Schizosaccharomyces pombe: one gene and its partner. Changing the gene in region 2 together with the main gene of any one other region gives a genetic interaction. Each region holds a gene or a part of one and is shown on either strand. Other genes may lie near its edges.

Region 1 (3,455 bases), 620 kb from region 2:
AGTAAGCGCTAAAAAGCACAAGCACTTTTAGCAATAACATGATTCTCAATTACTTACCTTGAACACGTCCTAAAAATAATTATTATTTCTTGGCGCTGCTTATCCTCTAATGGACGCCATCTTTTTTGAATTTGGTCTCGACGCACCGCGCGAACGCGCCTTTTCATTTCCATTGCATATATTTATAAAAATGGTGCTACCACTTCAATTTTCTTTTAAGCAATCTGGAACTTAAATAGCAAAATATGTACGTATGGTTTTATATGAAAAATTTCTCTATAACAAGAATTCGCCGTTTCAACGTTTGCATGCTGTTGTAGCGCTTCGGACGAAGTTGTTTTACATATATACAGTCAACCAAGCCAATTCTCAATTACTTATTTTATTTCAATAATAAGTTGATAAAAGATTTTAAAAATCATAGTTATAATGTTTTCACAGCTATCCCAGAAATTACTTTAAGTAGTCTGTTTTTAATTAATACTACAATTACAATAAACAGAGCTTTTTAAATCATATACTATTGCTACCATTGAATTAAAAGAGAAAATAAATAAAACGTACCGACAATCGTAAATATGGCATGTGTTGCAAAGCAGTTCAAATGAAGTGCAGTATGTTTTAGAATATAAATCGTTTAGATGTTGAAAAGATAATATAAAATTGAATTCCTAAGGGTTTGAAAAGTCTTTCTCGCTTAATCAGTTAGTTTATTTCATCTAAACAAAAATTGAATGCTAATTAATCGATCACCAATTTGCGAAGCAAAACCAAGATTCATAAATAGTAAATGCTGAAAATTAACAACTATTAATACACCAACGACGGATAAAAATAGCAACATAAACCTAACGCAAATATTGTCATACACGCATCTGTAATCAATTGTGTGAAATACGGAACATAACTTGTTGTATGACGGATCATTGCTCCATAGGGAGGGGGAAGCTGAGAGGCCAGAGATGCTAGAAGAGAATAAGAAGGTCCATTATTACGGTCCAAAACAAATTGAATAGAGAACAAGCAAGCTTCGACAGTAAATGTCCACGGAAGTAATGGCTGAAATAAATATATTAGTATGCAAAAAAACAATTTCAAAAAAGGAAGATGAGGACTTACCAAATGTTTAAAATAACAAACAATCACTACTATAGAAATTGCCAAAAGATGAGCATATTTCTCAACTAAGTTTTTTAAAGGAGCTGTAGCTTGAGGAATTTGTTCGTTTTCACCTTGAAAATTTGTATCAGATCCCTCCTTTGCGGATTGTAACATAGCTTGAAAAAAATTTGCAAAATCAGGGTTTTGATTAAACATGTTTTCAGGTGGTACATTATATGGAGAATCACACTGAAGTTTAAAAGGCGAACTTTCCAAATTATGGTAATCTTGGGAAGGAAGATATTCCACTTGATCAGCATTGAAGGTATCATCTCTCTTTTCCATGAATCCTGAAGACATTGGCGTTACTGGTGTTGCAGTTTCAGAATGTACAGCTTCCTCGGAAGCTGTAGCTCGAACATCGGATTGACTGTCATCTGAATTCTGTCCCAAAATTTGATTGATTCTAGATGCACCTCCTTGTTTGATTTTATTCAGTCGACGTTCACGTCTAAGTCGAGCTTGTTCACTGGCAGTCGACATGTTCGAAGTCTTTGAATCAGCAGAAAACAGAATAAAATAAATAATTAACACCAAACTTTTTTACAGATATATATTTTTATCAATATTATATTGGGAAAAAATCAATAATGCTCACTTGAACAACTTTCCAATATACGAGGGGTTTGGGGTGAGAGAAAATAGTGATGCATAAGTGTTAGAAGAATACTGAATTCCTACAGCTGTTATGTTTGATAAGAATCATACATGTTAGCCTTATATTATAAAAAGGAAAATTTAATTATAAAATTGGTTGAAATTGCCATATCAATTGCATTTTGCTAATTCGTGTTTTTTGGGAAACTACAAAAAACTAAAGAACAGACACATATTTTCATTACAGACTAGCGAAAAATTAAACAAAAAAATTTCCGTTCATTAATTCAGATACAAAAAGGAGTAGTATCACCAGCAACAGCTTTGTGGTAGCACCTTATTCAATAGACATACATGCAAAATCCAGTAGATTATAGGATAGTCCCAGCTAAAGTCTTTCATTTTGCGATACTTTTAACGAAAAAAAATAAAGACATCGAATGATTCACCTAAATACGTTGGCAGAAGGAAAATCCGCTTCAAAATTTGATTTAGAATTGAAATGCAAAAGTCATAACTCAAAATAGTAGTAAAATGGTTACTGAAAATTTATTATTCCCTTTTTATATCCTTCTTGGGAGTCCCGGAGTCTTCGCGAAAGGCTGCGACTATATACAAGGCCAAGATAATATTGACCATTACAGCTGCAGATAATCCTGCGTACAATGTTTGATATCCTAAAACAAAATTTATCAGTAAAAATCAAAATTATTCAACAATTAGTATATACCTTTGAATAAAGTCTTCAACGTCCAAAAATAAGTTATAAGTGGTAATGTAAATAATGCGACACTAAAACCCACAAACTTAAGCAGAACATTACTATTACGAAAGTTAGTAAGTTTTCATTTCCAACATATTTAGTTAAGAATATAAAAGGAATAAACAATATAAGAGACCTAAGATTATAGACTGTTGTGGAAGGTTGTATGGAATTTCTTAAAACCAATTCGCAGTCCGGCGTAAAGAAATAAACTAATAATTAATAAACTTACGTAGGTATAGAGTTATTATTTGTATCTGAAACTTGGGATTTCCTTTCCATTTTAAATCACGAATGCAAGTTGTTGATGGTGGTGGAGACCTAATTTATTGGGACCTTGCTTTATAAGAGGTCAAAGTTTTGTCAACATGAAAAGTAGACAATTGATATTCGTATGTTGAAAGTCCCTGAAATTATTTGTCATCTTATTAAAATTTATTATCTTTGTTTATAACATACGGTAGACTTATACGTGCGACCTGCTTAATTTGTGTTTACATATAATAAAATACCTGGGCGACAAAGTCTCCAAATTCATAGTTCCTTGTTGAAATATTAAATTAATTAAATTAAATCGAGTAACAAATGTATGTTAGGGCTTGGTCGATGATCATAAATAAAACTGCAATTTACAAACTCACATTGAATTGTTTAGCAGGCAAGGGTGTATCAAACAGTGGTGATCAAAAAAGCAATACTCAATTACTCCTCTGTTATAACAAGTGATTTCACACCATCCATCTTCACTTGATACAAGCATTGCTATGTTGACGTTTTCATCAGCGGACGAGCGGTATAAAAAAAAGAGCAAATAGATTACTCAATGGGTATATTTTATGCATTAAAATTTACCATTTTAGCTTGAAATCAAACTGTTGAAGTAGATTTTTGAGGTAATAAAAAGCATTTAATATAACGATAAGATCAAGCCTAG
Region 2 (5,453 bases):
GAATGACTCCAATCTTTCAAATACTTTATCTGGTCGGGTTGTTTTATAACTGTTGAACGAATTGATGAACGATTATTTCTTTTATTTCTCTTTCATCTTCTCACCCAAGCCTATCACATTAGCGGGATTGCTGAAAAATCATGTGTTTACACTTCCACGTGCTAATTTCCTTTCATCCCAGCCCATTCCATTTATTCCACTACAAACCTTGACCATGTAAACATTGAGAAACGATTGGGTTGAAGGACAATTGGGTTCTGTTTGTATCAACAACAACAGTTTTTCCTCTAGTAACCAACGACCAACAAAATGCCTGAACATAGAACCGGTGTGAATAAGCAAAGTTGGCGAAATGAACAAAACAACGTTGCGCAAACCAATAATTGCACTTTGCTACTGTCAAGTGATGCGCAACATTCATTTACTCATCAACATCGTTATGATAAGTGTATTGCACTTTTATCAAACAAGTTTTGCAATTTAGTATGCGCATTTCAGAGAAAATTCATGCTATAGCAAACTCATGTTGAATAACAAAAATACGCACAAAGCAAGGCCCATTACTTTCTTGTAACACTCTATTTTTGGGGCCTTTACAACCCGAGAAATAGGATCAATCGATCATCCTTCACTAGCCTTGTCACTTGCCTTCCGTGTGTAATACCAACGGAACTCATTCTCCGGTAGGAATGTACTTCTGCTGCCTTCATAGTCGCTACTGCGCAGACCGAAAAAATCCGAAAATTCTTTAAATAGCGAGAGCGAGTGTATTTGCGGAAATAAGCTTAACAATTGATGATGGAACACGGAAACTAAGCTTAAACGAATACAGTCACTATCGTTATAGCGGGTCAGAAAGGTTGCAGGCAGAGAAAGTAAATGCGTTAGACTGAGTATAGAAAAGTATAGTAGACAAGGCATTTTGGACAGGCAAGGCATGTCGGACACATGTGTAATAATAAGGCATAAACAGTTTTAATTTTTAAGAGTAGAATTTATTACAAAAGGACTTTTAAGTAATTTTCTTTTTAACCAACAATAGGACTCGACATTTACAGTTAATCGAGTTTTTGTTGTGAAAAATTCCAAATCCTACTTTTTAATTACATCTTCTTTTATATTCATATTCATATTCATATTCACATCCACATTCCACTCATACATTCACATCATAACATTCATTTTATTATTTCTATAAACAATCGGTTCAAAAAGAACCATTCCTATTGTTTAACGCTTCTTTCTTTCGCTGTGTTCCTTCTTTCCCTTCTATGATCATGTAGTTTTCTCCTCAATTGATTCTAAATTGACTGAGAAATACACAACTATTTTATTATCAAGTTCAAATTGTTAATTCGCTTTTCTCCTACCTACTTACTTAGTTACCTCGTGTCTATTTGTCTCTATAGTAACCCTTTCGCCCCCATTTTATATATACACCCCCACACTTCCTATATAGCGATATCGGCGCTACTCACTTCCACAGCCGGTTGATTTTACTGCATTCCATTCTCTTTCGCTATATACTTTAATGCACTTGAACGATGGTTCATTGCGTGCTGGCCTGGGTGTTGCTTTCAAGTCTTTGCAATCTTTGATTGGCTATCTAATGTTTTTCCCACCACTTACAAAGCGACTTAGATGCGATAAGCTTTGGGGCCGATGTCACCCCGATCGTTCGATAAGCCCTCTGATAAGGCGCTGTCCCTACTATTATGCCTCCTCTCTCTACCAATCAAAAGTTGCCGTACCTGTCCATAATAGCTGCATGAATGTTGACTACGTAGTGGCTTTCTTGTCACGTTCTTCCTATTTAAGAGCTCGTTGCGCCGCCGGTTTTTTTCTTTTCCTTTTTTATTTTACCACTACACCAAACTTACTAACAACCAACAACACCACAACTACCACACAATTTTACTAGTACAGCGTTAACATCCTGATCTCGTAAATCGTCTATTACATTTATTTTAAGCTTTTAAATCTCTATTTTTTTGTCTTCTACTCCATTTAGTGTTGACATATTTTTTTTTACATACCTCAGTTTTCTAGTTACTTTTCAGATTTAATTTTTCCCAAGATGTGTTAAATTATCTATAAAGTCCTCGTTTTTTTAAGTTGATTTTACTTCCTTGTTGAAATCGAATATACTGGTTGTTTTTGTTGTTTCGGATCTTTTGTTTCCACCCCCAATATTACGTTTACAAAGCATGCTTCGTTCGTCCTCGTGTCGTCGTTAAGTCTTTTTCTCCTAAATCATTCAAAATGTTGTCTCATTGAGAATTTATCGTAGGTTGTTTTTCACCTCATTTTTTTTATCTTCTTAATTTTGCTTTAGGTTTTCTATCCCTCTACCAAAATTTTTCTCCTATCTCTTTGTTTATCGAATATCTTTTTAGTATTTTTCGGTTAATCTTTTCTACTATTGTGGTTGATTAAATAATTTTCTCTCTTATTTTAATCGTCTTCCTTTTATCTCTTTTTTATAATTCTCCAATATGATGTAACTCGCAAGTTAATTTCGTTGGAATAATCCTTTATTATTTACTCATTTCGGTCAAATATCTTTCTTTTCCTCTGGTTGTAACATTTAGAGTCTTTAGAATCTCTACATCGTTTGGTCGGGTCTATTGTTTTTTTTAACTATCCCCAAAGTGCATTATGCTTCTTATTTTTTTACAAAGTCAACATTAAACATTTATTACTTTTTGTCTGTGTGTGACTAACATATTACTCGCGTGTGATTGAATTCGGTATTATAATTTCGTTTCTCTCCCTTGTTTTTCTATTTTTTTTTATAATTATCTTTGTGTCTGTGTGTTTATAGCAAATCCAATTATTTTGTTATCATGAATTACAACGATACTACTGAATTTTGTTTCCCCTTTGGTCAGCCCTCTTTCCCTACTTCGGCTATGACTGAAGGGTCGTTTGACGGTCAATTTTCCGAATTTGACCCTACTTTCACTTCCCCCGCTGATACAGCATTATCCGATATCGCAAATCTTCCCATTGATCTTCATAAGGATGCCCTTTTCGCCAATGCGCCAGGCAAGGGAGATGTTGATTTTGATTCGGTTTCAATGTTGCAACTGCTTTCTGATTATCCCTTGGCTTTTAACTCTACGGAGAATAATCAGAAATTGCAAACCAACCCCTCTGCTCGTTGGTCTCTTCTTGACAGCATGGATTTCGACAATCAAAGGCAATGTTCTGATTTAGAGTCTGCGCAACTCGGTGATTCCGGATTGCTAAAGTCTACCATACTGTCGAACTCTCATATTGACATTGCTGCCTTGTCTTCCAGTAAGACGTCAGAACCCACACCCCCTTTCTCTTATGTACAGACTCCCTGCATCCCAACGCCAAGCTCGGCATTAATCGATACACCATTCCCTGGTGCTCTTGATTCCGAGTTTGGTTTCGATGAAAGTCAAGCCCCTCTTTTCCCTGCCTCTGATGGTGATTGTCAGCGTGCGTTTGCTTCCATATCTTATCCCACCAACTATGGATGCAAGCTAAGCAATCTGGGCTTCATGTCACCTCAGTCGCCTGTTAAAAGGGAGCTGAACGATTCCACGTCTCCCTCGAAGCTCTCCGAATCGAGCTCATCCTTGACTGGTTCGTCTTCTGCTTTGCTATCCCAATCTGAGTTCTTGGGCTCAGTTCCTAGCTTGTCCGATTCGATCGCTACCGTTGATCCATTCTTTTCGTTTGAAAGCTTTGAAACAGATGAAAAGGCTCGTTCATTACTCATGGATGCTTCACTTAAGTTGCCCCAATTTTCCACTCCTAATCTGTCCTCTAACTCTTCTTCTCTCAGTCTGAAGTCGACGTTAGCAGAGGGAATGAAAGGCTCTACACCCCTTGCTGCCGTTAAAACTGAAAAGGCTAGTAAGGCAGCACGTGTAATGAAACAAAAGAAACATCGCGAACATGTCTGTTTTAACTGTGGAGTCACTGAAACGCCTTTATGGAGACGTACATCAGATAAGCTTAACTTCTTGTGCAATGCTTGTGGTCTTTACAACAAACAGTATGGTGTTATGAGACCATTGTCTCCTAGAAACAAAGGCTCATCTAAGGCACTTGAGAATTTGGTGTGTGCCAATTGCTCTTCTACGAAAACTTCGTTGTGGCGCAAAGATCGTCACGGACAGACTGTTTGTAACGCTTGTGGTTTGTATGCCCGTCTTCATGGCCACAATCGTCCTATTGGTTTGAAGAAGAACAAAATTACCCGACGTCGTCGTGGTAAGGGCCCTGGTGGAGAAGATGGAATGTCTGACGAGGTAAAATCAGAATTCCCCGTACTCTCAAAATCCGTCACGATGGCCGAGATACTCTCTTCAAAGGGTCTTGAATCACCTCAGCTTACCAACTCTGTTTCTGTTTCGAAAATGCCGAATACCGATGCTGATGTTTCGTTGGAGCATGCAAAAATCTCTTTTGATTCGTTGGACAACTCGGTTATTGTCAAGAAGGAGGAAGAAATAGAGAATAAATTTTCGGTCTCTTGTTGAAAGACATTACTAAGAGTCTATTGATTTTTTTTTCACCTTGGTTTTTATAAACTCTTTTATTTTCTACTCTAGCTTTTGTTTATGTTTTTATTACAGCTTGCAAGTTTCAATCGTTTTGAAGACTACGCTTCGTACTGAAAGATTACTTTTGTAGCTAAAACCTATACATTTGAATACACATTTGGGATATACTTTTGATTAGATATGGCATAAAGGGTTGATGTGTGGGTTTATTGGAATTTTTTATTTTTTCATTTTTCTTGTTCTTTTTTTTTGTATCTTGCTTTTGCAACTATAAACAAAAATTTCACTTGATATTTTATTTCTAGTCTTACTGATTGAAATTAAATTGACTGATCAATTTTTAAGTGCTCTTTACATTTTAATGTTGTTGCTGTAGCTTGTAGTTTTTTTTAGTCTTGAAGTTAAGTTGTGCAAATGTTAGTTAGCGAATACGCAGTTTGTTTTAAAAGTAGATACCCGCTAAGGAGTGTGTAACAACTCAACTGCCGAATGAACTAGCCCTGAAAATGGATGGCGCTTAAGCGTACTACCCATACCTCACCGTCTGGGTTAGCTTTGAGAAGCTCAGACGAGTAGGCAGGCGTGGAGCATTTTTTTGTATGTAAGAGGCAAAGAAACTTTGTTGAAACAAGTAACGTATTAATACTCTTTGAATTAGTTTGGCTTTATTCAAAAATAGCGGTGAATTAAATAACAATAAATTATTGATGTATTGAATTTAATTAAGCACTGATAAAATGTTATAAAAGCGTGTTTGTCAATTGTTACCGATTCAGTACAGTGTAAGGACAATATAGGCATATTTGCCATTAGCCTTGCTTTTTAGCTTTACACAACGAAAATAATATAAATATTAAAACATATGAATTGTTAATACCGTTATGCAGAATGCAAGACGGCATCGATTGA

The links. A genetic interaction does not mean that the proteins touch.
Region 1: mutations in fil1 (region 2) and get2 together harm fitness more than expected from each alone (negative genetic interaction), as found in Schizosaccharomyces pombe (one large-scale study listed by BioGRID).

What each region holds. Positions count from the first base shown.
Region 1 is NC_003421.2:187,448-190,902, reverse strand, and holds get2 (GET complex subunit Get2), read right to left. Parts: upstream 1,790-3,455; 5' UTR 1,645-1,789; coding exon 1,120-1,644; intron 1,060-1,119; coding exon 811-1,059; 3' UTR 502-810; downstream 1-501. Other genes in the region: kinetochore protein fta7, read right to left, coding at 58-173; vacuolar H+-ATPase assembly protein Vma21, read right to left, coding at 2,311-2,435, 2,489-2,580, 2,754-2,803.
Region 2 is NC_003421.2:809,809-815,261, forward strand, and holds fil1 (zf-GATA type transcription factor), read left to right. Parts: upstream 1-1,881; 5' UTR 1,882-2,846; coding exon 2,847-4,520; 3' UTR 4,521-4,900; downstream 4,901-5,453. UniProt on the Schizosaccharomyces pombe protein: Activates genes required for amino acid biosynthesis and acts as a master transcriptional regulator during amino acid starvation. Binds variations of the DNA sequence 5'-GAT[AC]GC-3'.